Linked DNA regions of Xenopus tropicalis. The protein of the gene in region 1 purifies or fractionates together with the protein of each later gene. This does not show direct contact. Links are inferred from orthologs where the notes say so. Each region holds a gene or a part of one and is shown on either strand. Other genes may lie near its edges.

Region 1 (15,341 bases):
AATTTTATTGTCGGTGCACAAATTCTGCCCCTCCCCAACCACATCCGGTGCTCCTGGACTAATTTAGCTGTGGCCCATTGCACGTACAGAACTGCACAGCTACATCACCATCCTTGGCCATGTGACTTCCATTCCCATCATGGATTTCAACTAGGAACATGTGCAGTAGCCAAATGTCACAGTTTGGCCAGTAGTCTGCAGGCCTGGCTTGCTGAGAAGCGACATAGATGTTGGGGACAGAAGTGACACTGCTAAAGGTGGTGGCCAACACTACTGAGCAGCGCTGTAACTCAGGCCATGCTATGGGGACACAGATAAGTTGGGACAAGTGTAAGTGACATGTAGGGGAGGGGGATGTGAACTGTTACTTAAAGTACAAATTTCCCAGGGAAGCTTTACTTTTCCTTTAGATAAAGATTTATACAATTTATTCACTCACAATGCTTTTATTGCCTCATTTATTAACAGAGAAGGAAAGGTTTAAACTAAGTAAGCTTTATCAGAAAGGTCTGTATTTAATAGCCATAAGCACTCACTGTACTGCTGCTCTGAGTCCTCTGTGAAAAGAAACAGAATTCCCTGTCTTCTATTCTGTACACATGAGCTTCTGTGTCAGACTTCCTTCTCAGGTTTACTCAGGTATGGTAAATCATTTTACAGGATATAGAGTTTTTGCTTGTGCTATTGTGACTAATCTATTAGCAGTAAACTGCCTCACTAGCTGCTGTATTTTACATCAGTTTTACCACCACTTATACTCCAAAAAAGGGCTGAATTGCCCGCTGAATTAGCCAATAGGAGCCAATGTGCTGAGTAACCAGTTGTAATTGGCTTGGCAACCGCTGTGCCTTGTACTAATGATTGGGCCTTTAGCTCCTCCTCCTAATCCTGTCAGTCTGCCGTCAGGTGACACTCAGTTGTACCTGTGCCTTGTACTAATGATTGGGCCTTTAGCTCCTCCTCCTAATCCTGTCTGCCGTCAGGTGACTCCCAGCTGTACCTGTGCCTTGTACTAATGATTGGGCCTTTAGCTCCTCCTCCTAATCCTGTCTGCCGTCAGGTGACTCCCAGCTGTACCTGTGGCTTGTACTAATGATTGTGCCTTTAGCTCCTCCTCCTAATCCTGTCTGCCGTCAGGTGACTCCCAGCTGTACCTGTGCCTTGTTCTAATGATTGTGCCTTTAGCTCCTCCTCATAATCCAGTTTTACCACCACTTAATACTCCAAAAAAGGGCTGAATTGCCCACTGAATTAGCCAATAGGAGCCAATGTGCTGAGTAACCAGTTGTAATTGGCTTGGCAACCGCTGTGCCTTGTACTAATGATTGGGCCTTTAGCTCCTCCTCCTAATCCTGTCAGTCTGCCGTCAGGTGACACTCAGTTGTACCTGTGCCTTGTACTAATGATTGGGCCTTTAGCTCCTCCTCCTAATCCTGTCTGCCGTCAGGTGACTCCCAGCTGTACCTGTGCCTTGTACTAATGATTGGGCCTTTAGCTCCTCCTCCTAATCCTGTCTGCCGTCAGGTGACTCCCAGCTGTACCTGTGGCTTGTACTAATGATTGTGCCTTTAGCTCCTCCTCCTAATCCTGTCTGCCGTCAGGTGACTCCCAGCTGTACCTGTGCCTTGTTCTAATGATTGTGCCTTTAGCTCCTCCTCATAATCCAGTTTTACCACCACTTAATACTCCAAAAAAGGGCTGAATTGCCCACTGAATTAGCCAATAGGAGCCAATGTGCTGAGTAACCAGTTGTAATTTGCTTGGCAACCGCTGTGTTTAACAAAAGATCAAATAAAGTAAAAAAACAAGGACCCAGAGGGGAAGTATAAGCAGCCGCAGGCAAACACAGGGTCAAAATCCAAATAACATACCAGGGGTTAAAAACCATGGTGTCGGAATATGGGGAAGAAGGGCAGAGCAGGAAGTGACTTTCACAACAGGAACTCAGGAGGCGTGGTCTCAGCAAAAGCACTTAGGGGTGTTTTTACTAAGATTATAACTGGTGATGTTTCCCATAGCAACCAATCAGAAATTAGATTTGAACTGTCATCTACAAGTTAGAAATACAAGCAAAGATCTGTTTAATTGCTGTGGGCAGTGTCAGCGGTGATATTGATATTCAGTCTCCGTAAACGGGGCCCTTAATGATCAGGCCAGGCAGGGGAATAGTTGAATGGGGCGGGGTAGTGTACAGATGGGGTGGGGAAATAATCAGGACAGAGGCTGGCCCCTATATAAAAGGGATCTGCTGGGGAGAGCCAAGGGATTATGGGTAAGGTCTCCACCCTTACAAATTTGCCAGCAGATGTATGGCCAGTGTGCCAGCTAGGCCGGCCAAATACCGGCTGGGTGGCAACCCTAGTTAGAGGACCATCTGGAACAAGAGATGAAGGACCACCTAGATCAGAATCTAGAGAGCCCCCCAGAGCAGACTGATTGCAGGATCGCTGACAATAGCCAGAGCCTAGGGAGACAGGTCCTCCGGCCCGGGCAGAAAATACAAGGAGTGGAGGCAGGACTGGAACAGAACGGAGTAGCCGCATTAGGCCAGGCCACTGGGGGACCGCACCATGGCAGGTAATAGAGGCTGGGCAGCTCTGGAGAGATATGTTGTGTCCCCCCAGTATATATATTGGGGACATGTGTTATATAACATTGGTCTGTGTCCCTTATTCATCGGCCATTATCCTGCTTTCCCTCCCTCCTTCCCCATACAAACCTTATTTTTAGCAGCATCTGGAGAAGTGGAGGTAGCATCCGTCTCAACCAGCGCATTCCAGACTAACCGGTGAAACCTGCTGAAAACTCGCCAGCCACGTTTGGAATGTGAGAGGAATTCCCGTAAATCAGCGAACAGCATCCCCGGCGCATCTGTGTCTGAGGGAAACACAGGGAGCAATGGAAGGGCAAGAGAGGGACGTAGGAGATAAGCCTGGGGTATGTGGCCTCCTTCATATTGCCTCCGGCCTCCATTAGTGTCTGTTACCGCAGTAACACAAAGGCACAAGGCTGCAGGCTGAGTTATACAGGGAACTCGGAGTATCACTCATGTATTATAAGGGATAATTTACCCCCTACTGTAAATGATAAGGATATTAGCAGTCACTGAGGGGTTCTGTGCCCATATAAAGGCACAAGGCTGCAGGCTGAGTTATACAGGGAACTCTGAGTATCACTCATGTATTATAAGGGATAATGTACCCCCTACTGTAAATGATAAGGATATTAGCAGTCACTGAGGGGTTCTGTGCCCATATAAAGGCACAAGGCTGCAGGCTGAGTTATACAGGGAACTCTGAGTATCACTCATGTATTATAAGGGATAATTTACCCCCTACTGTAAATGATAAGGATATTAGCAGTCACTGAGGGGTTCTGTGCCCATATAAAGGCACAAGGCTGCAGGCTGAGTTATACAGGGAACTCTGAGTATCACTCATGTATTATAAGGGATAATGCCCCCTACTGTAAATGATAAGGATATTAGCAGTCACTGAGGGGTTCTGTGCCCATATAAAGGCACAAGGCTGCAGGCTGAGTTATACAGGGAACTCGGAGTATCACTCATGTATTATAAGGGATAATGTACCCCCTACTGTAAATGATAAGGATATTAGCAGTCACTGAGGGGTTCTGTGCCCATATAAAGGCACAAGGCTGCAGGCTGAGTTATACAGGGAACTCTGAGTATCACTCATGTATTATAAGGGATAATGTACCCCCTACTGTAAATGATAAGGATATTAGCAGTCACTGAGGGGTTCTGTGCCCCCCATATAAAGGCACAAGGCTGCAGGCTGAGTTATACAGGGAACTCTGAGTATCACTCATGTATTATAAGGGATAATGTACCCCCTACTGTAAATTAGGACCTATAGAAGTGTAGGAGGACATGGATAAGAATGACCTGTTGGATTGTAGGGTGGCACAGTAAGGATATATTGGAATGTATGATGAAAGTCAAGATTATACCATCTTAAGGTGGCCATATAGAGGCCTATTGTAGCTGCCGATATCGGCCCCTTGGACAGATTCGGCAGCTTATCGGCCTGTGTATCGGCAGAAACAACGGCCATACCCGACCAATATCTGGCCTGAAATTGGGCAGATATCGATTGGGCAGGTTTAAAGATTTAGTCTGATCGGGGACCGCATTGGCTCGTTGATGCGGTCCCAGAACCGACTGTGCCATTGCCGTTAGAATTTGATCGTTTGGCCCCAAACATTTTAGCCTACATTTGCCCACCCATAGGTGGGGATATCGGGAGAAGATCCGCTCCCTTAGCGACCTTGCAAAGCGAGTGGATCTTAACATGTATGGCCAGCTTTAGGGTGACACAGACAAGACAGGCCTTATGGACAGTAGGGTGTCATAGGTTCAGTACATAATGGCCTATTGTATAGTAGGGTGACATGGATAAGAGAGAACTGTGGAAAGACAATAGGTGACAAAGGGGTCTGTCAGTGAGTGGGAAGCTACAGACGAGGGCTATAGGGCCACCATACAATAAGCGGAGATACTGAGCCCCGGGGTAATTGAAACAGAAGATATTTGCTAAAGCAAAGCCTTGGCAGTAGACACTGACCGGGGTGTTTCCTGTAATTCTGACGAGAAAAAGCATCACAGAAATGTGGAGAGAACGTTTGTAATTCCTGGAGAAACCATAAATCAGAGCGTGGCGGAGACAAAGGAATTAGAGAAGCTGGAAGCCAGAGATGCACCTGGGTCAGACACAGACTCAGGGACTATAGAGAAGCGAGGGCAGAGAGGGAGATTGGGTACAAACAGAGGGGCATATGTACCCCCACCCCCCTGGTGTATATGGTACAGGATATGGGAGGTGGGCAGCAGGAATAAATGCCAGGATGAGAGGGGCTGGGGGGGATATTTAATGGGAAGATAATCCCCGGGTAGGCTTTTCCTACAGCCACACCACTGTGTCTGCCTGACCAATACAGAGCTCTGTTACATAAATGGAGAATGCATTTTTATTTGTGGTTTAGTAATTATTTCACGTTTTGTTCAGCAGCTCTCCAGTTTGGAATCTGAGCAGTTATCTGGTTGCTAGGGTCCAAATTGGGACCAGGCACTAGTCTGAATGAGAGAGTAACAACAACAATAAAGCTGGAGCCTCACAGAGCAATTGCTGTTTGGCTTCCGGGGTCAGTGACCCCCATTTCAAAGTTGCAAATTATTTAAAAAATGAAGACCAATTGAAAAGTTGCTTAGAATTTGGTCTTTATTTATTTGCCTTCTTCTTCCAAATCTTTGCAGTTTTTAAATGTGGGTCACTGACCCCGGCAGCCAAAACCCTATTGCTCTGTGAGGCTACAGTTTTATTGTTACTTTTTATACCTTATTTTCTCTATTCAGCCTAAACCACTCCCTTGTTGTTAAGGTAACTTGGACCCTAGCAACTAAATAGCTGCTGAAACTCCAGACTGGAGAGCTCCTGAACTGAAAATGAAATAACTGAAAAAACTACAAATAAATGAATAAACAATGAAGACCAATTGCAAATTACCCCAGAATATTACTCTCTACTACATCGTACCAAAAGTTAAGTCAAAAAGGTGAACAACCCCTTTAAGGCTTCTGCAGCTCAGAATGGCACTTTGCTGTGCCAAACTGTACCACTTAATGAAATGACAAGCAGGAGGAAGGCTGGCAGTGCCAAGGGTATTCATAATCTATATTAAAGTCCAAACACAGTATATAGTAAAAAAAAAAAAAATGACATTTATTTTCACCTTGTGGCACTTGGTCCTAAACTCATTAGAAAAACAGTCATGTGACAAATGTCCATAACTGCCAGCATCTGTCACCCCCACCCTCACGCACTGACAGTTGCACACAGTGTGCCGCACAGTTCTCTATGCAGCCCATAGGGGGCGGTGTGTGCACAATCTATACAAATATACATGGGCCCACAGTGCACGATGTACCGATCACTCCTTTAGGTAGAAGTGCATCTTGTCGTGCACAACCTTCCGGTCTGGGTTCAGTCTCTTTAGGATCTGGGCCAGCACATTGACTGTCTGCTCGCTGCTCAGACCTGTCTTTTTGGTTTGGAATTTCTTCAGAAGGTCTTTAGTTGTCATGGGTTTGCGGGTCAGGTACCGGCGAACGGCGTCCTCGGTCAGCTGAATGTCCCTGCACGAGCGACACACAAGCCGTATTAGGCACACACACATATACAGCTGCATTCCCTACATATACTATACAGTTTGTCATTTCCCTATGGTACCAAACTGTAAATGATATCCTTATAAACGGTGCTTAGTGATGTCATCAGAGCTTAGTCACATGACTCACTAAAACATGTATATTATAATAAATAAAGCATCCCCTGTTGTAAAATATGAGGATATTAGAAGTCACTTCGGAGTTCCATGATCCTATAATATCCCTATATGTTACAATAGGGGGTACTTTATTCACTATATATTATAAGGAACTCCTCGGGGGCTTATAATATCCCTATATGTTACAATAGGGGGTACTTTATTCACTATATATTATAAGGAACTCCTCGGGGGCTTATAATATCCCTATATGTTACAATAGGGGGTACTTTATTCACTATATATTATAAGGAACTCCTCGGGGGCTTATAATATCCCTATATGTTACAATAGGGGGCACTTTATTCACTATATATTATAAGGAACTCCTCGGGGACTTATAATATCCCTATATTATAGGGGGCACTTTATTCACTATATGTACTGAGCCTTACCCGCTGCTGGGGGTCGACTTCCCGGACTGTGGCTGAGGGGTGGATTTTCCTGAAGTGTTTTGCGGCCCGGATTCCATCTTGAGACGTTTCGCCGCAGGAGTGTTTGACACTGCTCCTCGTTTGCCTGCGAGGTGGGGGGGGGGGGGCAATGTATGAGATGGTCAGGAAAGGAGCACAAGAATATGGAAGAAATAAAAGCATGAAAGGAAAGCATGTGTGTGAGAGAATGGCTAAACATCAGCCCCACCCCAGAATTAAAAAATGGCGCCCTGGCCCAGAGGCAGAGGGGAGGCGGCCCTAGTGGCCCAGAGGCAGAGGGGGGGGCACCCTACAATATGAACACAAGGAAAGCCATGTGCTACACTGACTTTGTTCTAGTTTACTTGCTGCAGCTCTCAGGGTGCTCGACGTGTTCCCTGTGTCAGGAGACGGGGTTCCGGGCCTGCTGTTCCCCCGGGAGCTGCTGTTGGAGCCGCCTTTCTTATCCTTCTTGGATGGGGTCTTCTTTTTCTGAAATGAATGAAAATAAGAGAAGGTTTTCCCCTGTACTAAAGCATGATATACAGAAGAGGAATGACATATAAGAGTATTTAGGCTCGGTGCCGAGGCCCCACCGTACCTGCATAAAGAGGGATGATGAGGCTCCATCAATATCACTGTCCTCAGAAGTCTCAGACTCATCACTGCTGTCTTCTTTGAAAACAGAACAAATAAAAACAATGAGAATAAGAAGGGATGTTCTACATGTGTCTCAACTGCAGCATCCAACTGATAAGGGAAGGCTGCTGATGGGTGCATGGAGCAGAGAGACCTGGGGAGCTGAGAGACCGAGGGACCTGGGGAGCTGAGAGACCGAGAGACCTGGGGAGCTGAGAGACCTGGGGAGCTGAGAGACCTAGAGACCTGGGGAGCTGAGAGACCTAGAGACCTGGGGAGCTGAGAGACCGAGAGACCTGGGGAGCTGAGAGACCGAGAGACCTGGGGAGCTGAGAGACCGAGAGACCTGGGGAGCTGAGAGACCGAGAGACCTGGGGAGCTGAGAGACCGAGAGACCTGGGGAGCTGAGAGACCGAGAGACATGGGGAGCTGAGAGACCGAGAGACATGGGGAGCTGAGAGACCGAGAGACATGGGGAGCTGAGAGACTGAGTGCAACGCAGCCCTAAGTTTAACTACAAGCATTGTGTCTCTGTGGAAAGAAATGATTGAAGCCACAGGGGACAATGTCCTATTGGGGTCTAAGATGGTGACTGGGGGGGGGGGGGCATTGTACCATGCATATGGATGGCTGAACCCTATGGTGTTTTCCTTGTACATTCTACATAAGGAAACCCTTGGCCCATTTGAATGGAAAGAAGACGTCATGCAATGTGGAGCAGAGCAGCCAGATGAGAGCGGGGCCCGGAGAGAGAAGTGCAGGTGAAGAATGAATTTGGCCTACTCTGCACCAGACATTCCCCGAGTGAACGGATGCGTCAGGGTTTCATTAGAATGGAATGGGTCAGAGCGTGTTCAGAACTCGCCAGATGTTAGAGAGGAATATTTTATGGACCGGGGTGGAGCGGGGAGGATGGAGAAGCATGGGAGATGTCTGGCAACTTCACCTTCTGTAACAGAACTCCCTTAGATTAAATATCAATCAGGGTGAAGTGGAATTTGGAAGCTGATGCCATTACTTCTCTTACATAATCTGAGAAGGAAGGGAAAGTGCAGTAACTATGGGGGAAAGGAGCCGTGTGTCTGGCTGGACGGAGGGAAAGTCTACTTTGGGTGAACCTCTACCCGCTTGTAATCACAAGTAAGGGATTCCCAAACAGCCCCTTGTACATCAGTCCCTCAGCTGCTGTTATTCCCATGTGTTCCCATGGTCAGACGGGGGGGGGGGGGGGGGGGTCTACTGCACTGATCTCTGTGTATCTTGTGGCATTAAACCTCCTTTACATGAGCATTGGAAAGAGAGGGAATCAAGTCCTCCCCCTCCCTACCTGAGCATGGGAAAGAGAGGGGGTCAAGTCCTCCCCCTCCCTACCTGAGCATGGGAAAGAGAGGGGGTCAAGTCCTCCCCCTCCCTACCTGAGCATGAGAAAGAGTATTAGAGCTGAAGGTAAAGGGGTACATAGAGAAGTACTGGGGTACAGGCTAACGGATGCATCAGCATCTTTACATGTTCTGCCGAGAGCTGTGTAAGGAACCCCAGCTGAGGCAATATGGCATCTCCCACTCACATTTATAAAATGAATATGTAGAGAAAAAATGCTGTGCTGGAAACTGTAACTAGGCCACAATAAATCACTTCATACAAAGAGAAAGGGGGGGGCCATCAGTCAGAGTTTAATGATATTACAGATGGGGGAACAGAGTTAATTAGGGACCAATGATTTTTAAACCTCATTGTGCCCCTTAATGGTGTACATCAGCGAGACAGACTCACCTTTCTTCTTTTTCTTATTATCCTGTGGGGTGGGGGCCTTCTTCTCTTCTTCTTCCTCTTCCTCTGCCTTTTCCTCCTCGCTCTCCTCACTGCTCTCACTCTGCTCATCCAATCCTAAGGGAGTACAAAAAACATGTGACTCCGTGTGATGTCGTTGCACCAATTCCTTCCTAAGCAGGAACCCCGACTCTCACTGGGCTAGTCTCATAGTAATGTGATGCAGAGAAACAGGGAGGGGCTTAAACTGTCACATGATCACACTTCTGCCTGGGATGCGCTACAAACCTCCCTGTAGCAGAAATGACACTAGCAAACTCCATACATGGCATTTTGTGATGCCAGAAAATTGCTTGCTGTGGTACCAGGATGATCTCCCTGGAGTAGCCAATGACGTGGGCTCATGTAAGAAATAACATGTTACACAGAAGAGTGCATATCAGCAAGTGACTCATACAAATAGTACCTTTAGGGCCTTCCTCCTCTTTGGCGGGTTTGATCTTCCCTGGAAGCTCTTCATCAGAGCTAAAAGAAAAGGAAATAAAGGTAAGATCCATACTATATATTATATATCACATGATTTGGGCTCTGGCCCTTTAAAGGAGAAGAAAAGGCATTTTTTAGCATTTTATTGCCAATAGATTAGTAACAATAGTGCAAGCTAGAACCCTATATTTATTCTGCAGAAAGCTTTACCATACCTGAGTAACAGCCCTAGAAGCTCCCTCTGTTTGTTTAAGACAGCAGCTGCCATTTTAGTTGGGTCTCAGTAGCTTCCTGCTGCAGCTCTAGCTGCTAGTAGCTCAGGTTACAACCCAGTAGGGAAGGGGAGAGAGGAGCAAACCGAGCAGACTCTTGCTGCCCTGAAGGATTTTTTTTTTTTTTGAGAGCAGGAAGAACATGTGACACAAAAGGAGACCAGAAATCCTGTGTTTCTTTTGATAGAGGACTCAGTGCAGCGTTTCTGTGAGTGCTTATGGCTGTATTTACATAGACCTTTCTGATAAAGCTTACTGAGTTTTTACCTTTCCTTCTCCTTTATTATTTATGCTAGGGATGCACCAAATCGGATTCAGCCGAACCTCAAATCCTTTCTAAAAGATTCGGATGCTGGCTGCAAAAAGGTAAAATCTTGCGTATATCCACTGAACTATTTACAGGGCATAGTTCACCTTTAAATGCACTTTCAGTATGATGTGGCCATTGGTATTTGTAAGACAACTGCAATTGGTCAGCAGTTCTTCAGTTTGGTATTCTAAAAGCTATCTGGTTGCTATGGTGCAATTTACCTTAGCCAACCAGGCAGCTGTTTGAAAAAAAGAGTTGGGAATATGACTAAAGGAGGGCCTAATACACAGAGCAATAGTTTTTAGCTGCCGGGGTCAGTGACCCCCCCCCATTTAAAAGCTGTCAGAAGAGAAAGGCAGATAATTCAAAAACTATAAAAAATAATGAAGACCAATTGCAAAGTTTCTAAGAATGGGGCATTCTATAACATACTAACAGTACATCAGGTGAACCGCCCCTTCCGCACTACAGGTTTCCCTTACCTGCTCTCGTCCGACATGTAATCTACTTCCTGCCCCTCAAAATCCCCATCGTCGCTGTCCTCTAGAGCCTCGTCGTCCGACTTCTGCTTCTTCTTTTTCTTGCCCTTGGCCGGAGCTTTCTTCTGGGGCTTTGTGCGACGCTCGCCTGGAGACAGAGGGAACATGAGGGAAGCCATCTTTTGCCTTATACCCATCCCCTACTGTTTCATTACTTTCCATCAACATTTATACTTATACTAGGGAGCCAAAAGCTGGGTATAGGCAGTCCTAAACTGCTAATATCTCAAACCCCTACCCCACAATAACTTACCCTCCTCATCGCTGTCCTCGCTTTCACTGGAGCTCATATCAAGGTCATCCTCAAGATCATGGATTTTGAGGTCACTTTTTTTCTTCTTTTTCTTGCCCTTTCCTCCTTTTTCCTGTTTTCCCCCACCTTCCTCTTCATCATCATCTCCCACCTGGTCCTTCAGGCGACGCTGCTGCATAATGGTAAAGTGATTGAGGACTTTGTTGCGCCTGCAGGAAGGTGAAAGACAGTTAATCCGTGGGTCTTACAATCACATTTTATGCGTCTGGCAAGGAGACGGATCATTAAAGGGGACCCGTCACTCTAAGAAATTATTCCAAATCCTTTTCTATCATGTTAGTTGAGCAAAATAAACTTTCCTTACACTATATAAATTATTTAATTTTTTCCCTTCACTCTTGGAATTCACAGTCACAGTCTGCAGGCAGCCGCCATTTTGTGTACAGTATTAAGGCAAGCTTTGTATCACCCCAAAATCTTATGCATTTGCTATCATGAAGGCAAAAATGCCCTAATAAGGGTATATAATATGGGTGGGGGCCTTATTTGCTGCCTCTGGTTACCTTTCCCACTCCTGCTCCGCCTCCTCGGCCGTCAGAGTGCGATGCTTGGCAAGTGGAGTGAAATTGTACCAGTTGGAGACTGGAAATGCTTCAAATGCTCCATCTGCGCACTGTGTGAATATGTAGTAAGAGGCATTTTCCGTCACTCCGCCCTTCTTCACGCCTTTATACCTGGAGGGGCAGTGGAATCAAGTGAAATAAAGGATATTGCATCAGTGTTGCCCCCAGTGGTAGGAGGATAGAAACAAAGGATATTGGGCCAGCGCTGCCCCCAGTGGTAGGAGGATAGAAACAAAGGATATTGGGCCAGCGCTGCCCCCAGTGGTAGGAAGATAGAAACAAAGAATAGAATAAAGCCCTATGCTGTTCATTGCTGACTTACTTGCGTCCTGCCTTTCCATTCACTCGCAGAAGCCAAGGCTGATCCTCTAGTTTGAACTCCTTTAAAATGATCCCGTATTTTTTCCTCCTGGACTCCTCCCTCTGTTTGCGGTTATACTCGCTGCCAGCCCCAGATTCAGGCATCTCTTCATCCTGATACATCTTTTTGGCACTCAGGTCACGTTCCATACGAGCCTGAAGAAATACAGGTACCCGTCACAACTCACACAGATATACAGACCAATACAGCCACGCATTTGCTTTAGTTTGGCAGCAGGGGAATTGGGACTATGGCACATGTGACATTCTAAACAAAATTGCACATACATACTATAGACAGCCCAAACTTAATTATATAGTGAATCCTATCTAGAGTTACGTCATCCAACATAGGGAGAGCCCTGTGTATTTTTGGCTTGTGAGTATTACACTGTACAATGATTAGGATGCTGCCCTTTATGGATTATAAAATGGTAATCCTGTACCTGGTTCCACGTGGAGAAATCCACTTTATCCGCAGCATTAAATGCCATGAGACTGTACCGCTTATTTGGATTCCTGACCAACAGAGAGAAGAGAGAATGCATTGAATATCTATGGAGAAATATCAGGACACTGCACACAGTAAATGGGAAGGATATACTATCTGGGTACAGGGACATCCCAGGTTAAGCATGTATTCTCAGACATATTGATGTTACCAGGCTGGGAGAAGAGAACACAGCTAAGTGCACCCAGATATCCACTAGTAACAGACTGCTTACTTACCTGGGTACACGCACCACATACTCTGTAACAGACTGGCCACTGGTGCCCTGTGGGGAATGAGAATTTCAGTAAATACAGAGATAAAAGAGAAAACAACCATTACTGGATTTGCTCTGGCAGAAAGATATAAGAGTAGCAGGGCCACAGGCTGGGGAAGACGTCTGCTGGTCAATTTGGCACAGGGCTGGGAGACAAGGGGTTAAAGGAATGGGGCTGGGGAAGAAGTCTGCTAGTCAATTTGGCACAGGGCTGGGAGACAAGGGGTTAAAGGAATGGGGCTGGGGAAGAAGTCTGCTGGTCAATTTGGCTCAGGGCTGGGGGACAAGGGGTTAAAGGAATGGGGCTGGGGAAGAAGCCTGCTGGTTATTTTGGCACAAGGCTGGGGGACAAGGGGTTAAAGGAATGGGGCTGGGGAAGAAGTCTGCTGGTCAATTTGGCACAGGGCTGGGGGACAAGGGGTTAAAGGAATGGGGCTGGGGAAAAAGTCTGCTGGTCAATTTGGCACAGGGCTGGGAGACAAGGGGTTAAAGGAATGGGGCTGGGGAAGGGGTCTGCTGGTCAATTTGGCACAGGGCTGGGAGACAAGGGGTTAAAGGAATGGGGCTGGGGAAGATTGTCTGCTGGTCAATTTGGCACAGGGCTGGGAGACAAGGGGTTAAAGGAATGGGGCTGGGGAAGATGTCTGCTGGTCAATTTGGCTCAGGGCTGGGAGACAAGGGGTTAAAGGAATGGGGCTGGGGAAGAAGTTTGTTGGTCAATTTGGCTCAGGGCTGGGGGACAAGGGGTTAAAGGAATGGGGCTGGGGAAGAAGTCTGCTGGTCAATTTGGCACAGGGCTGGGGGACAAGGGGTTAAAGGAATGGGGCTGGGGAAGAAGTCTGCTGGGAGACAAGGGGTTAAAGGAATAAGCATTAGTAATGTCTGTTCTGTTAAAGGAGAAGTAAAGTTACAATCACTGGGTGGGGGGAGCCAAAATATTAGCCCCCCCAGTGATTGTGATCACTTACCTGAAACCCCCAGCCGGTGCTTCTATTGGGAGAAAACTGCCCCAGCCTGGGGTGTATGTGAGCCAGTGTTTCTCTTCCTGCTTCGGTCTTTGCCCACGCGCAGTAGAGTGAGGAGCCGACTAACAATAAAGCTGTCTGTTTCACTCAACTGCCCCGGGATTCAGAATAAAGGAGGAAGAGGAACGCTCTCTCACATATACCCTGGGCCGGGGCAGTTTTCTCCTAACAGCAGCACCAGCCTGGGGTATCAGGTAAGCGATCACTCAGTCATTTAGCCTTTCTTCTCTTTTAAAGGGGACATATTGGATAAATGGGAAAAACCCTAATCCTGTAGGCAATTATGAATAATATACGGTGCTGGTTTCCCTTTGGGCTAAACATTAATCCTATCTGTAACAATGGCCCCTTTATTGGCGCTCCCTATAGATCCTATCACTTCTCTGTCTGTGTTTGAAATGAGGGGTGGGCGTGTCCTAACGGTCCCTGCCAGAAGCACAGTAGGAGGGGAGTAGCCAGTCACAGCCCTGCACTCACACAAGCACAGACAGGCTTCAGTTCCCTATCAGGTCAGCCTAGCTGCTGATTGGTTCCTATATTACAAAGCAGTGTACAGAGTGCCGCCGGCTCCCCTGCACATCCAGAGAATTCAGCCAGCAGAAAGTGGAACAGATGGGCAGGACTAGTGGGGTTTTGGGGGAATATCTCAATAAATCAGTCTGAAACACAACTTTCATACACATTACATTCATCATTTTTATAGGATATGTCTCCTTTAAAAAGTAGCTGGCAGATTGCTAAAGCAAATGGGAAGAAGAGAAGAAGGAAAGAGTGTTACACTCACTTAGATTGTAAGCTCTACGGGGCAGGGACCTCCTTCCTACTGTCTCATACCACATGGCACTTACTCCCCATGTATTTATATTTATTTATTGTATTTATTATAACACTTGCCCTCCCTGTGTGTAATTGTGTATATTGTAAGATTGTACAGCGCTGCGTACCCTTGTGGCACTTTATAAATAAAGTTATACATACATACAGACAAACACAGGTACTTGTACACCACTTACCAGCGACGCCATCGCTTCTCAGGGCAGGTTCCCTTGGGATCTATAAAAGATAGAATTCAATTGTCTCAATACACACACACACAGACAGTTGCATGAAGCGAAGCGATAAGCATTATCCTGCCTCTATGGGGAGGGGCTGGTAAAGTCAGTACAAAGCCAGAATGGTGACCCTATATACAGTACATACTCACTAATGGGGTTATAGTATAGTTACTAGTATAGTATATATATATATATATAGTTAGTTTTCTGTTGGTGAGAGTAGTTTCAAGCCCCCCCCCCCCCAGATATATAGAGATGGGAGAGCTGTAGTTAGACTTGTCCTTGTTTGACTGACCCTTCCCTAAGGCAGTAGCATGATAGGAAGGCAATATAGAATGGAGTTCAGTAGGGAAGGGAAGCATACAGCACAATGACTTTCTATATATAATGATTAATGGCGCAGGTTAGTGGCTGTGCTACAGCCCCGGCTGAATGAAGCACCTGATGGGAGGAAAGTGAGGGCAGGCGTAGGGATATCCCAGTC
Region 2 (15,882 bases), on another chromosome or scaffold:
CTTCAATGCAATGATCAGAACAACTGACCTATAGAAGTGCTGGTGTACTACAGAAGTGCTGATGCACCAGAGTTTTACTCATCAAAATGCTTGGCACTAAGGATTATACATATAGGGACCCATTTATCAAAGTCTGAATTTGGGACATTTAAAAGTACAATTGAAAAAAATCGGATTAAATCCGATAATTTCTGATGCGCGTTAAAAGTGCGAAGATTTTGCATTGTGGTCGTACGAAAATATTATGGTACGATCTGAAAGTTCAGATTTTCGTATCTGAATGAATCAGAAACGCAAAAAACTCTCTGACTTTGGACCTTTGGCGCATGTTTTTGGAAGCCTCCCATAGGACTCAATGGTACTCTTGAATGGATATCGAAACTTTCATACTCATTGTGACAATACAATTGTGTCGCATAAATTGTCGCAAAGCACAAAAAAGTTGTGGAAATTAATAAAAAAATTGCAGAAAATACGCACAGTTCTAAAGGTTAGAAAAAATACTATTTTTTCCATTCTGACTCAATCGTACTTTAATGAACAGGCCCCCATAGTGTATGTGAATTTGGTGAACATTCATGCGAGACATGGTAATGTCATGTTTTTTTATCACACCCCATTCTAGGACTGCTACATAAACTCAAATCTACTAAAATTAGTAGGATGTGGATAGGTCCCAGCTCTCTGTTTTAAAAGCTGTGCATTGTAAATTGGATAGGAAATGCTGAGCCCTTTATGCAAAACAGAACCATGTAGGGTACTATACTGTTTCTAATGTATCTAGAAAGCCAAAAAGCATGAACCTCTGATTAACTGGTAGTGATAAAATGTTCAAATTTGGCCCCCAATTAACTTTTACAGTAGTCACCTCTAAACATAGGCGCTACTTGTCAGGTAGGCATTGCCTTGAAGATGATTGCACCCTTGTGCAATGTTTATGTTGGTGATAACCACAAAAGCAAATGGAGGCAATATCATGCTGGACATTACAAGTCAAAATTGCAACTATAAATTGATAATGTTATAGCAGATGTATAATTCTTTGTTCCTTCATTTCTGTTTGCACCATAAAAAAAAGAAAAACGACACATATAGGCCAATATTCTACAGACCATTCTGCCGAAATTTCAAATTACTGGATGATTTTGAAATCCCATGTAAATGTCATATTGCAAAAACTCTCGAGACCATCTATCTCAATGTAAAATGTATTTGTGGTCCTAGATATTCTTGGAAGTATGGTAAATAGACTGATATGCTGATATTTCATAAGCCAAGGGGAATTTGACCAGAGGCTGGACCTGCAAGGGGGGGTGGTCATGGCCTAATGTTGAACATTCAGTGGTTGTTAATTATATCCAAACAATAAATCTGCATGTGTCCAAATTTATACTATCATTTCCTAGATCATGAAGGTGTGAAGTCTGAGTAAAGTGAAATTGCCATATGGAACAAAAATCTACCATAAACTTCTTCTGACAAGTTATGGACAATCGTGCAATAATATCTAGCTAGTTCATTTTTTGATGTTCTAAAAAAATCTTTTTACCCAAGAGCATGTATTTTAGCATTTGATATATTTTTCACTTGAAGTTAAACTTTATTATTTATTTAAGAAGCACAGAATAATTTGGTCTAAAGTCTAGAGAAACTTATTATTTAATTATTCCATTATTTAAATGCTGAAAAGTTCAATTTTCCATCTCAAAAGAACAACATGCCAATGTTGGCACTGGCAGCTACTTTGTTTAACAGAATGAATCCCAGTCTCCCAAGGTGCAAAGGTGTAGCTTGCACATGAAAGGTAGTTATTGAGATGCATAAAACAAGGCACAGCCATTGTCCACCCTTCTCCCTTTCTCACTCCATTATCTAAGTGTTGTTTACATTTTGCACTTCTTTTCTCACACAAACACGCCCTTCTTCCACAGTCAAATTCTTTTTTACATATTCATATTAAGTGTGTGGTTTAACCATTTATTATATAATTCTTTATACAAAATTCCAGAATTTATTGAGATATGGCACTGTTATTTCATATGAATTAGAGCACCAACCAGTAATATAAACCCACAAAAATGTGCAGCCCACCTAAACCAAAGACTGCATTAAAACAGGGTTTTAAACATTGGTGGTGACATCTAATTGCAAGCATAGTTATGTCATCAGATCATTCAAATAGCCCCCCAAAACAGGAAACTATGGACTTTGAAACAGACTCTTTGGATGTCGAAATCTCTGAATATTAGTTTCAGATCACTGCATTTAAACGTACAACTGATATCTGAACGTTCATCAGAAGAAGACTAAAATCTGAATGTGTATGACCACCTTAAATAGTGACTATGTAAATAGTGAATTTGTGAAATTACAGTCAGATACTAAATTCAACTTTTGCAAGGCGTTTTGTACATTCTCACAGGTCTACATGGGTTTCCTTCCACACCCCAGAAATACACATACAGTTAAATGGTTTCTGATGAAACCGACTCTGGTGTGTGTTGTGTGAATGCCATGTGAGAGAGTTTGTAAGCTTCGCTAGGGATGGGAATGATGTGAATGTGGCCAGCCTCTCTAAAGTGTCATGTAAATGTGTTTAAAGGATATCAAGCAAATAAAATCAGAAGTGGCAGCCATAAATAGATACAAAAAACTTTTCTTTGCTTCATCTCTTGGGTGGTCAGTACAGCAAAAATAAAATCAGTAAATATTTTTTTATACAGCATAATATATCTTGGGGTTTATATGATCTTCTTTTAAAACACACACATATATACACAACTGAAAATTAAGAGCTGTTGCAGTTATTTGCAGCATATTAAAGGACATGATAGCTGGTCAAAATGAAAACTTTCAAAGCCACAGAGTCTTGTTAATTTTCATTTCAGTTGTGTATTTTGTTGCAAGGGAATCCACTCCAGGATAATATAACTTAAAAACTTTTATGAACTATTTTAATACCACTGTTCCTTTAAACTGTAGTGGCATAAAGTTAACTACTGCTAACATAACTGCTTAGGGCTACATGTTCTCTTGCATAGCAATGAGCGGTAAATAGGCACAGATGGGCTTACCACACTCATGCTGTCTCCAGCATTATTAACAATGCGCAATTCATCCTCTTCTTCCTAAAACAGAATACACCACAGGAAAGGTAAAGCTCTAAGTGCAACATTATAAAAGAAAACATTTATTTACCACTTTATCTAGATGCACAATACAACTGGAAACATGGAATGCTAGGAGACTTAATTGCCTCAAAATTATCTCTGATTTTAATGAAAAGTAAAGGTGGCCATACACGTTAATAACTGCTCGCTTGACGAGGTCACCAAGCGAGCGGATCTTCTCCTGATATCCCCACCTATGGGTGGGCCATATCGGGTTAATTAGGTAGATGGCCCTGGGGCCAAACGATCAAAGTATAATGGAGGGTATATACGCCGTCAGTTTGGGGACAACAAGCTGATGCGGTTCCCAATCTGACGGAAAAGTCAAACCTGCCCGATTGAGATTAGGAAGATTTCAGGCCAGATGTCGGTTGGGCAGGCCCATCGTTTGCGTCTATACACGGGCAGATAAGCTGCTGGAATGGGTCTAAAGGACCGATATCGGTAGCTAGAATCAGCCACCTTAAAGGACAAGGCAACGCAAGATATAATTTTTAGCCTAATAAAAGAAACCAAAACTCTAAGCAGCTTAGAGTTTGTAATGGTTTTTGAGTTATTTTGTTTATAATTGCTATTAGAAACAGTGTTTGTCTGTCCTTTTCTGTTCACTGCCCTGATGGCTCTGACTGTTGAAACATTGTAACACAAGCAGACTGTAACAGACTAACAGACCTGCCTTGCTGGAGAAGCAAGACCTTTGCAACATTGTTTAAAATGTAACAAGCAGGAGTTCAGCAAATGCTGCTTTCAATAGCAATTACATTTACAAATAACGGTTAAACTTTTAATTATTTCATATTGGAAAGTTGCTTTTTTTTTTTTTTTACCCCTTCTGTATCCTAATTAGCATATGCTAATTAGGATTTGGTTCGGTTTTTTGCTGAATCCCTTACTATGGATTTGGGGGTTTGGTGCATCCCTATAAATGACACTGTATATAAGTTGTTAAGCAAGCAGCTGACAGTCAAATAAATATGTTTGTGAATGCCATCTACCAATCCACTATATTGCCCAGTGCATTTTGCAATGACTGATTAGGAACCCAAGTTCCACTTCACTTCTTGCTGTTTCTAATATGGCCACCACATATCTAGGGCTCATCTAGGGCTCCTAAATGGCCGTTATTTGCCTAGCTTGGCCTGTAAAAACTTGCGTGATCCCAATCAAGCTTTGTTAATAGAGGACAAAAAGATATTAATTTATGAAGACTTGTATTTTTACAGAAAATGTGGCGATCCTACACATTCGGAATCCAATCATTACTGATATACCAAAGAATATTAATTGGCTAGTGGTGTATGGCAACCAGGCCTGCAATGGCCTGAACTAGTCTAACATTACAGATGTTACCTTTACCAGTGAGGCCAATGTTGCCTTATGCCAATGTTATTAATAGGGAAAACACATGCAAACAGGAAGTCCAGCATTTTTTCCAGAAAAGGTGACAACCCTATCAAACTGAAACACCTATGGTGTTTGTATAAATGAATTATAGGTTTGGTAAAGCCATATAACAGCTTTAAAAAACAGGAAATGTCCCTGAAAATGTGCCATCTTCCTAACAAAAACATGCTTTAGTAACAGGTACAACCACTGTACAGACAGGCACATTTGCGGTTTTGTTAATTTACAAAACCATGCCCCCAACCAACCCCAAGCCACACTGTTTCTCACATGAAATATGGCACTGATCCAATACACAGTATATCTACGAGAGCCGCGAAAAACCGTTCGGCAATGTAGAAGGGAGGCACAAACGTAGGGTAAAATAGAATTTCGATAAAGTGGAACGGAGCGCTATCGTAGATATATATTGGCTGGCTGTGAGACAACATTTTGTCCTATTGGATGGATTTATTGCTTACAACGGGTGTGGGAGCGAGTGTTTATTCAACTAAATGAACAGGGGCAGAGGCAAAATACAGATAATTATTGACAACAGAAGCAGCCGTTTTGTATTACGTTACGTATATTTGGAGCCCACAAGCCTCCTTCTTTATTAACGCGTAGCAGCATGTGAATACGAGAGAGAACTCATACTCTCGCATCACAAGGCAGAGATCACAAGGCGCATTGTTTGGCCATTTAGCCGCTACAAGAGTTAACGCTGCTGGGCGTGGCTCCTTGGAACCGGACTCTTCCCACTTCCATGTGGGCGGAGCGAGTAGAACCTTGGAGAGCCCGACTTCCCTCGAACCTCATTCTCTTCTCTTTCCTCCCCCACTGAGGGCAGTGCGCTCCGTCCTTGCTGGTGCCGCCATTTTGGAAGGAGTAAGAGCGCAACAAACACGCTCGCAAACCCTCTCCTGGTTCAGTCCACTAGCACGCACAGCTGACCGGCACAATGAGTTCCCCGATAAACGTGAAGAAGCTCAAGGTATCCGAGCTAAAGGAAGAGCTGAAGAAGAGGAACCTTAGCGATAAAGGGCTGAAGGCCGATCTGATGGAGAGACTGCAAGCTGCGCTGGACGAGGAGGGAAGCGCTTCTGGAGGAGGGGGAGTGGCGGTCCCTGATGAGGCCGAGGATTTGGGCGATCCCGAACAAGGTGCAACCGGAGAAGACGAAGAGGAGGAAGAAGAAGAAGGAATGGAGCTAGGAGGAGAAAACGGAGGCGATGGGGCCGATGAGGAGGCGCCCGACGAGGAGGTACCCGGCGAGGAGGTACCTGAAGCAGAGCAAGGAGATGAGAACGGAGACGATCAGGGTTTCCAGGAGGGAGATGAGGAGGAGGAGGAAGAAGAGGAAGAAGATGAAGGCATTCCGGTTGGACTGGAGGAAGAAGATGATGCGGAAGCGGCTATCGGAGAGAACGGGCAAGATCAAGAGAAGGAGGAAAGCGAGAGTGCGCCCAGCGGCCCACAACCACTAATGGCCATAAAGTGCGAAGAGACGGGCGGCCCCGGGAGGAGCGGTGAGTTTATGGAGGGTACGACACTTTTATTTTTCGATATTATAGTGCAGCGCGGTTTTATTACATCCGCTATGTTACCACAACGCCTCGTAAAATTAGTGACCCCTTGAGTATTTTGTATGTGGGAGGTGGTAGGCCACGGCCTTGTTGACTTGTATAAAATGCTAGCGCTCTTGTTCCCGCCGTGTAAATGGTTATTGCCGAGTACCGCTGACAAAGGGGGTTGGCGCTAGGGGTGCGCGTACTGCGCGCCCATCTTGTCACGTCTCCTCCTGGAATGATTGTGGCGGCGGCGGGCTGAGCGCGTCACTGCTCGGGGAGGGGCTTCCCTGCCCCCATGTTAGGGAGTGCGGCTCTGCTAACGCACCTGCTGCTCCTGCTTGTGTGGGCGGCGCAGCCATTATTGTCTCTTAGGGATCCGCTTGAGTGCCTTTTGTGGTTTTCTCTTTTGTTGTACTCTGTAAGGCCTAGTGGGCTCTCCGGGTTAGTTTATCGCTGTTTAACGCTGATCTGTGTGGCGTTATCTCCATCATGTTAGTCTCCATTGAATTAATACAGGGTGCTTACACAACTCTGCCATTTTGTGCAAGTGAAATGTGTTTTTTTTTAAATGAGTTCTCCACCCAATTTCAAAAAAGTAATTGCATTAAACATTTTCCACAAAGGTATTTGTAAAAGTATTTACTGTTGCCATTAGTATCTGTGTGGCTGTTAATACTATGCACATCTGGTTCTGACTTCAGCAACAATGTATCAGAAACCACCTGATCAAGATTGCAAGAATAAATACCGCTTTTCAGTAGCAATTTATATTTTCACACAATAAAATTAATGTGTTTTCCAAAGGCGCTTAGGATTGCATGTTTATGGCCCCAGTAGCTTAGTCACACAGATTGGGAAAAAGTTTGTAAGTTCCAAGGATCCTGCATGTCCATTGTTTCTAAATCTGTCAGCCTGTATTGCAGTACTGCCACTAGCCCCCCCCCCCCCCCCCCCCCCCCCCAAACTTTTAATAAACCTACTCCCTTGATATTACTAGGTTGTAAATGCATCCTTGTGGGTTGATTGGAGGTGTGTGGCATATAAATCTGGTACTATATTTGCAAAGAAGCATCAAGCAGTACAGCATTAGAATAGCCTTGTAAGTAAGTCGTTGGGCTGAAAGGTACTGAGGAGAAACAGGAAGTAGTATCCCAAAATAGAACAGTGGAAAGCACAAAGGGAATGTTGGGTCGCCTTGCATGCCCCCCAAGCTCGTTTCCCTAGCTGCACAGACACTCCAATTGTAGGGCTGCTGAAAAATGAGCCTTATATCTGACTTCAACATTCATGAACTCATTCATAGAGGAATGCATTTATTTATCTGTTTGCTGGAATACAGATTCCCCCAGAGGCTGGCTTACACTCCAGTGACCTCTTGTATGTGATCTTAGAAACCTGAAAAGCAGACAGGAACTTTGTTGTAGTAGTCCTTTGCTATTTGCCTTCTGGCCACATAAAAAGCCACTACAGAATTCCACCAAGTAGAACATTTTGTTAGGCTAAACATTTGTGCATGTGCTCTTACTTTCAATTTCATATTAGTTCGACATACACATACTGTGTAGAACATTGTGTGCACTGAGACTAAAACAGTTTTTTGTCTGTCTTGACTTGTTGGGTATAGATTTTCCTCCTGCTGAGCAAAAAAAAAAACTGGAAAAGAGGGTGGAAATACAAATACAAGAGTAGTATGTAATTGAATTAACAATAGATCATCATTTTGTCTGAAACCAAAGAGATGCTTGAGTTAATGGCACACATGGCAGCTTCCAGCAATAATTGATAGACTGAACCAAGCGACTGTTGGCCTGTCATACTGAAAGTGATTGGGGTAATTTTGAGTGTTTTGGGGTGATAAGTCAAGCAGGCATTCAGCCATACTTAGGACATTAAAGTATAGATATGTATTTTACAGCTCTGCAGGTTATGCAGACTATTACAGGAGTAGGCTGTGTTAACTGGAATGCTTGGGAACTGGGGTTTTACGTATAAAGGATTATTTGGATCTCCATACCTTGTCTGCAAAAATGAATTATAAAATTAAATAAATGCAATAGGATTGTTTTGCCACCAACATGGATTCACGTAGCTTAGTTACCATCAAGTACAAGGTGCATTTTTATTATTACAGAGTAAGGAAATTTTATTTAACAATTATATTTGCTTAAAATTAACACCATAGAAGATGGCCTTCACATAATTTGGAGAATTCTGGAAAACTGTTCCTGATAAAGGATGCCATACCTGCACATTAATGATAAAAACAATCTCATTTTGTGCTTGTGGAGATAAATACTGTACTTGCTACTTGTGAAGTTAGTCTGTGAGAATTACATTGGATTTAATTTCTTGATCATGTAAGAATAGCTGCAAGTGTTTCATTGTAAGTGTATGGATGTGGTTTATAGCTTCACATTCTTATTTCTAGATGGAAAAGATCCAAAAGAGAAGAAAAGGGGTGTGAAAAGGCCACGTGAGGACCATGGTCGTGGCTATTTTGAATATATTGAAGAAAATAAATATAGCAGGTAGGTACAGTTTTGTCCAGTGCCATTCTACTTTGCATTTTTACATGGCTTTAACTATATTCTTATTTCAGGGCAAAGTCTCCTCAACCACCAGTTGATGAAGAAGATGAGAAGTTGGATGATACCATGGTACTTCTTGATACTTGTAAGTCTTTCAGATTAAGTTATTTGGGAAAACCGTGTTCATTAATGTACCCAGGATAATGTATTATCTGCTTTTCTGTTGTCAGTTTTAAAAAAACCCAAAAGAATTTTCAATTTGGTTGTGCCGGCCACCCAGTCATCCCAGGGCTCTGTTTAGACCAGGGGTGGCCAATACATTGATCGCGGTCCACCAGTCGATCCTCCGTGGATTTCTGATGGACCGCGATGAAGTTGGGATGAGGAAGTGCTGTGTGAATGCGTACGTATGCTGCATCACATACGCATTCACGCTGCATTTCCGCATTCCCCGGTGGACCAGCGTAGATGTTTGGACCAGCGTAGATGTTTGGACCAGCGTAGATGTTTGGACCAGCGTAGATGTTTGGACCAGCGTAGATGTTTGGACCAGCGTAGATGTTTGGACCAGCGTAGATGTTTGGACCAGCGTAGATGTTTGGACCAGCGTAGATGTTTGGACCAGCGTAGATGTTTGGACCAGCGTAGATGTTTGGACCAGCGTAGATGTTTGGACCAGCGTAGATGTTTGGACCAGCGTAGATGTTTGGACCAGCGTAGATGTTTGGACCAGCGTAGATGTTTGGACCAGCGTAGATGTTTGGACCAGCGTAGATGTTTGGACCAGCGTAGATGTTTGGACCAGCGTAGATGTTTGGACCAGCGTAGATGTTTGGACCAGCGTAGATGTTTGGACCAGCGTAGATGTTTGGACCAGCGTAGATGTTTGGACCAGCGTAGATGTTTGGACCAGCGTAGATGTTTGGACCAGCGTAGATGTTTGGACCAGCGTAGATGTTTGGACCAGCGTAGATGTTTGGACCAGCGTAGATGTTTGGACCAGCGTAGATGTTTGGACCAGCGTAGATGTTTGGACCAGCGTAGATGTTTGGACCAGCGTAGATGTGATCATTTGGCCAGTACATGTCTGTCTGAAGACTTTATAACCCTTTCTTTTGATAATGTATAGAGACTTTTTAACCATGCCGTATTGTATGTAGGTGCTGTGTATAGCTTCTCAGCTAAGATGTTGTCTATCCATAATCATATTTTATAGATAACTGTGATCTTCACTTCAAAATTTCTCGTGATCGCTTAAGTGCATCATCACTTACCATGGAGAGCTTTGCACTTCTCTGGGCTGGAGGGAGAGCCACTTACGGTGTATTAAAGGGGAAAGTTTGTTTCGAGATGAAGGTAAGTGCACTTACAAATGCAAAAGCTGTCTCGAACCGACAACTGTTAAATTTTACTTTTTAACCAATCAAACTTATTTTCTACCCCCTAGGTAACTGAAAAGATTCCAGTTAAACATGTATATACAAAAGAAACAGATGTTCATGAAGTTCGTGTTGGCTGGTCATTGAGCTCCTGTGGATACATGCTCGGTATGTAGATAGTAAAGGGAGAATATATCCCTATTAATAAAGTTTGCTAGGCTATAGGTATCCTTCATGCCAGCAGACCTTATCTGTCTTTCTAGCTAGAATTTTGAAGTAGGCCATCCAGCCTCTTTGGCATTGAATAATGCAATATTTCTAAGTTGGTTTTCCATTCCTCTTGAGGTTGTGTTTACAATTTTTGACTTTTTGCAGAACTTCACATAAAGATTAAATATAACCTGTTAATGATCCATTTAATATGCCTTTTAAATTAGGTCTGTCAGTCTTGAAACACATTTAACAGTCACTGCTCAGAAATGTTATGAGGGATTTGCATAAAAATAAATCCTAAAAATGCCTTCTCATTATATAGCCAGCATGTCCATGAAGTTATGTTATCCAAGACAACTGGGGTTTTCATAATTTTGAATTAGCATACTTTAAACTGCTAAATATTTAAAAAATTAAATCTGCTATAATTGTTTGGTTGCAAATATAGATTCATACAGCTTAGTTATGATCAAGAACAAGTTGCTGGTTTTGAAAGTGGAATTAGTAAAAAAAAAACAAAACAACTTTATGGGATATGGCCTTCCTTTAATTTGTATCTTTCTGAATAACTGGTTTCATGGCAAAAGTTACCATATCTGTATTATAATTTGGAAAACAAATACATTAACAGCCTAATACAATTTTATTTTTGCTTTACTAGGGGAGGAGGAAAATTCCTATGGTTATTCTCTCAAAGCAGCAAAATGTTGCAATGGTGTTGCTGAGGATTATGGAGAGAAATATGATGAGAATGATGTGATCACTTGCTGTGCTGTGAGTAATTCATGTTTAATTCCCATTAAAACATCTTGTGTGCTACAGTTGGAGTTCTTTTAAATTTGGCAAAGTATAATGAAATATCTTGCTTTTGATTGGGTTAGCATTTAAAAGTGGGGACACTAATTTTGATCTTCACTGGTTTTTTTCTGTTGCAGAATTTTGAAGAAGATGAAATAGAACTTTCTTATGCAAAAAATGGCCAAGACCTTGGAGTTGCTTTTAAGATTAACAAAGATACCATATTGGAGCAGGCTCTCTTCCCACACATTCTCTGCCACAACTGTGCCGTAGAATTCAACTTTGGGCAAATGGCAGAACCATTTTTTTCTATCCCTGAAGGCTATACATTAATTCAGAACGTTCCTTTAGAGGACAGAGTCAGAGCACCTCTGGGGCCAGAACAAAAGCAGGATTGTGAAGTAAGTATATTTGAAAGTAAACTGAAGAGAACAGTTTTTTTTTCTTCTCCCTCTTTTTGCATCTTTCAATTCATGTTGTCTGGTTTTGGGTGTAAACTATAGGTGGGAGAACTGGAAAGACATTTAGCCAGTGCTTATTGTTGCAGATACTCTAAGATCACTGCTCTGTAGTGCTCCTCAAAGCAAATTAGGCAGAAGGGTGTCCAAGCACTTCTGCCTTGTGCTAGTGCTGAGTTCATCTGGCCTTGGCATGTTTGCATGTTCTCTGTTTCTGTGTGGGATTTCTTCCACACTCATACAGGCAGGTTAATTGCTCATGATTAACACTGATCATGTTGGTGCTATTTAAATACTGGATAATAAAATCTTTACTAGGTTGAAGATAAGTGATACACACGCTTGCCAAGGACAGTTACTGTTAAACTTCATTGGAACTCTTGTTGGTTAATTTATCTTGTGTTTTTATGTGTGGTATAGTGATATGGTTATTCGTGTCATAATGCTTAATATGTGCTCTTTTTTTTAGAATTAAGAATACAAATACATTTATTACATTCAGAGCAAATATGTTTTTTTTTTTTTTAAAGGTTATAATGATGATTGGCTTGCCAGGTGCTGGAAAAACAACATGGGTAACTAATCATACTGAACAAAACCCTGGCAAATACAACATACTTGGAACGAACACTATTATGGAAAAGATGACGGTAAGAATCCTAATATATAATTTTGGTATGTTAACCTTTTTTTTTTTTTTTTTTTCTTGACATTTTTACTTTAAAACCCTTTTCTTTGTAGGTTGGCTGCAAAAAGCAAATGTCTGACACTGGAAAGTTAAATGCTTTGCTGCAGAGGGCCCCACAGTGCCTAAGCAAATTTATTGAGATTGCTGCTCGCAAAAAAAGGCATTTTATCTTGGATCAGGTAAGTTTTTTTTTTATATATATATATATATATATATTATTTATATTGCCATTTTTATACAGGGCCTTAGAGAGACATACCTTGACCGGCAGTGTTTTCTGCTTTCAGGCAATTGTTAAACTTTGTTTAGAAACCTGCTGTCTTCTATATTTTGTTAAATAAAAAATATAATTAATTTTAGTCATGTATGCTTTTAAATATAAATAAATTGTATATTTACCGTTGGCTAGTAAAAATTTCAGAAAACTTACCATAGTCTATAGAAGTAAAATACAAGTTAACCTTTTCTCAGAAGAACCTCAGTAATTGAGGTTGGTAATTAGAAATGTTATTAACTAATGTAGCATATTGTAACAATTTAAAAAAAATCTGAAGTTTTTGCATAAGTAAAGGAATTATTCAAAAGGTGAAAAATGAAACTTTAAATTTTAGTATTAGAATGTCAAGTTATTTCTGATCTATTAGAAAACAGTGGGAGTGAAAATATTTTAAAGGCAAACAATTCTTTAAAGTGATCCATAATTTCACATGTTAATATGATAATTATTAATACAATAACAAACCTTGCTTTCAGCATACAGGGCTTTTTTTTTTTCAATAGAAATAAGTCCATTTTACCTCACTTTGTATAAAACTTATAACTGAAATATAAGCTATAGTAATTAAGACACCTTGAGCTTTCTAACCTTTAAATGCAGTATTTTAAGTACAGGTGTGGAATATATTGTACAAAATACTTAGCACCAGGGAGTCTTTATACAAAATGGAGCACCCTGCCATAAGGCTACTAAGGTGCCTTAATAGTTTTCTAATAATAACCAGAACAGCAAAATCTATTTGTAATCATACAAGGCCCCTCTGCCTTTCATCAGGTTTAAGCTGTAGTGTGTGTGTACATACACTATCAAACTGATTTGTTTCTTGTGTTGAGTGGTGCAAAGTGTTCCAGCTTTGCCTTCCTAAAGTTAACATTTTTTTGTTTGACATTTCTTTTCTCTTTTGCAGACAAATGTGTCAGTAGCTGCACAGAGAAGGAAAATGTGCTTGTTTGCTGGCTTCCAACGCAAAGCAGTTGTTGTTTGCCCAACAGACGAGTTATATAAAGAGAGAACACAGAAAAAATCTGAGGTGGAAGGCAAAGATCTTCCAGAACATGCAGTTCTCAAAATGAAAGGTAAGTAGATTTCCATGTTCTTGATCGCCATTGAGCCTCTTCGCAAGGCAGTTTTTCAGAGCTTATGGCTTCTATGCTATGATCTGACACAAACTTGTTATTGGTCTCTAATTTCTACTTTACTTTGTAACAACCATTCTGATATGGTGCTAATATGATGGCCCCTGATAGAGCACATTTTTTTTTTTCCCTCTCAGGTAACTTTACTCTTCCAGAAGCAAGTGAGTGCTTTGATGAAATCAGTTATGTGGAGTTGCAAAAGGAAGATGCTGATAAACTTATTGAGCAGTATAAGGAGGAGAGTAAGACGTCCCTTCCACCAGAGAAAAAACAAAACATTGGAGCAAAGAAACCAAACAAGAACAAAAATACCAAAGGCAGAGGTGGTATGTCTCACGGTCATGGACACAGAGGCCGGGGAGGTGGAGGATACAATATGCGTGGAGGAAATTTCAGGGGTGGAGGTATGTTTGCACCATGTAGTTGTACAGAATATTGTATACATTTAGTAAAGAGGGCTGAGGCAAACATATCAAAGATGACTTAGTTTCAGAATTTGTTCATTGACCTTTGTCAAAACCACCTTAAATATTTAGGCAGGGGTTCAGTGAAGCTGTGACCACAACAAGAGGTCCTCTTGAGAGAGAGATGCCCTCCCCTTTAAGCAACAGGGATTGTTTGTCCATATACTGCAATATACATCCAGCTGGCCAACTATGTCGGTCATCCATGGTCTGGGCAGTCCTACACTTGCTTTTATCTGATTCATTAAAACACCCAAATGGTTGCCCTTTTATTGGCTCATTGGGATCACCTGACTGTAGCTGGAAAGGGTGGGGGTTACAACATGACGCTTACCACTGCTTCTGTGCAAACTAACAAAAAAGGGAAAAGTTGTGCTCACCGCTAAATTTTAAACCATTAGGCATAAATTTAATAACTAACTATCTTGTAGCTCCAGGAAACCGTGGAGGATACAACCGAAGAGGAAATATGCCCCAGCGTGGTGGTGGAGGCGGTGGTGCCGTTGGGTATCCATACCCCCGTGCACCAGTCTATCCTAACAGAGGTGGCTATGGTAACCGTGGAAACTTCAACCGTGGCGGGGGCGGTGGAATGCCCAGCCGTGGCAACTACAACCAGGTAAAACTTTATATTAAGTTTTAATTGTCCCCTCCCATCTTTCTTTGTGCCATGTTTTAGGAAACAAGGGGGGAATTTGGTTGCTAAATATCTTAATTGAGAAACTCTGCATTGCAGTTTATTGACCTAGAATTTTCTCTGCAGAACTTCAGAGGAAGGGGAAATAATCGTGGCTTCAAAAATCAGTCTCAGGGTTACAACCAGTGGCAGCAGCAGGGTGTAAGTATCTCTCACTGAAATTGCTTAATGACTTGCAAACTTTTTTTCCCTTTTTGCACCCTATATTTTTTTTTAATTTTTTTTTATTTCACTGAGCTACTCTAACACACAGACATTTGCCTCCAGCTTTGGCCATATTCCTATAAAATCTTTTGCCGTAAGTTACATAGGATCAATTTTATTACTACTTGAACTTCTTGGAATTAAGTCTGGATTGGGCTCCTAGGTTAAAGTAGTGGGATGAAACTTAATCAAATGTTACACATGACCTAAGCAGTTCTTGTTGGCAAATAAGCTTAAAAGCTTGTTAACATGTTAATATTTACCCCTTTTTCTAATTGCAGCAATACTGGGGTCAAAAGCCATGGAGCCAGCAGTACCACCAAGGATATTATTGAATACCCAAATAAAAATGAACTGATACATATTTCTCTTCAAAACCTTCACAAGAAGTCGACTGTTTTTCTTTAGGCTAACTTTTAAACAAAAAACAAACATTCCACAAGAGGAAGTGCCTGCGGGTTCTTTATTACTTTTGTTTGGGTTATTCCCATTTATTTTGTTTAGTTGCTTTCTGGGTTGAATTTTTTTTTTTTGTACATTTTAATTGCAGTTTTAAAGCGATGAATAAGAACCTTAGCATTGTGCACGATAAGAATGTGTCAGTATTTCAGGGTTCTTCATTTTTATCTGTAATGTGACTTTTTTTTTCCTTTTTTATTACCATAACAAAAGTAAAGATGTTGCTTTGTAACTGGTGTGTTTTATTAAGGACTGCAATGCCATAAGTGTCCAGGGGCTTTTTAGCTGGGATATCCTGTCACACAACAGTTGAAATGTTGGCATGCTAAGTGGCCCTTGTTGACAGATTGGAACTTTGTAAAAACCCGTTTCCTCTCTACCCTCCACATAGGGAATAAATAAGGCATTTTAAGAGTTTCAGGCTAGCTTGTAGCATTGGAGGAATGCTTTATGAAAC

Evidence for each region.
Region 2: the proteins of gtf2f1 (region 1) and hnrnpu purify together in Homo sapiens (affinity purification with western blotting; 3 studies listed by BioGRID, with this or other methods). This does not show direct contact. The link is inferred for Xenopus tropicalis from reciprocal best matches to the Homo sapiens genes GTF2F1 and HNRNPU.

The regions. Positions count from the first base shown.
Region 1 is NC_030679.2:140,875,940-140,891,280, reverse strand, and holds the end of gtf2f1 (general transcription factor IIF subunit 1), read right to left. Parts: 5' UTR 14,828-15,341; coding exon 14,816-14,827; intron 12,787-14,815; coding exon 12,740-12,786; intron 12,530-12,739; coding exon 12,457-12,529; intron 12,167-12,456; coding exon 11,973-12,166; intron 11,762-11,972; coding exon 11,591-11,761; intron 11,237-11,590; coding exon 11,028-11,236; intron 10,863-11,027; coding exon 10,718-10,862; intron 9,693-10,717; coding exon 9,634-9,692; intron 9,285-9,633; coding exon 9,171-9,284; intron 7,434-9,170; coding exon 7,360-7,433; intron 7,251-7,359; coding exon 7,109-7,250; intron 6,865-7,108; coding exon 6,741-6,864; intron 6,155-6,740; coding exon 5,950-6,154; 3' UTR 5,718-5,949; downstream 1-5,717. UniProt on the Homo sapiens protein: TFIIF is a general transcription initiation factor that binds to RNA polymerase II and helps to recruit it to the initiation complex in collaboration with TFIIB. It promotes transcription elongation.
Region 2 is NC_030681.2:44,496,080-44,511,961, reverse strand, and holds the start of hnrnpu (heterogeneous nuclear ribonucleoprotein U), read left to right. Parts: upstream 1-5,485; 5' UTR 5,486-5,514; coding exon 5,515-6,097; intron 6,098-8,552; coding exon 8,553-8,652; intron 8,653-8,723; coding exon 8,724-8,797; intron 8,798-9,868; coding exon 9,869-10,008; intron 10,009-10,099; coding exon 10,100-10,199; intron 10,200-10,905; coding exon 10,906-11,018; intron 11,019-11,179; coding exon 11,180-11,443; intron 11,444-12,030; coding exon 12,031-12,150; intron 12,151-12,241; coding exon 12,242-12,367; intron 12,368-13,372; coding exon 13,373-13,541; intron 13,542-13,738; coding exon 13,739-14,005; intron 14,006-14,496; coding exon 14,497-14,684; intron 14,685-14,828; coding exon 14,829-14,903; intron 14,904-15,247; coding exon 15,248-15,301; 3' UTR 15,302-15,882. UniProt on the Homo sapiens protein: DNA- and RNA-binding protein involved in several cellular processes such as nuclear chromatin organization, telomere-length regulation, transcription, mRNA alternative splicing and stability, Xist-mediated transcriptional silencing and mitotic cell progression.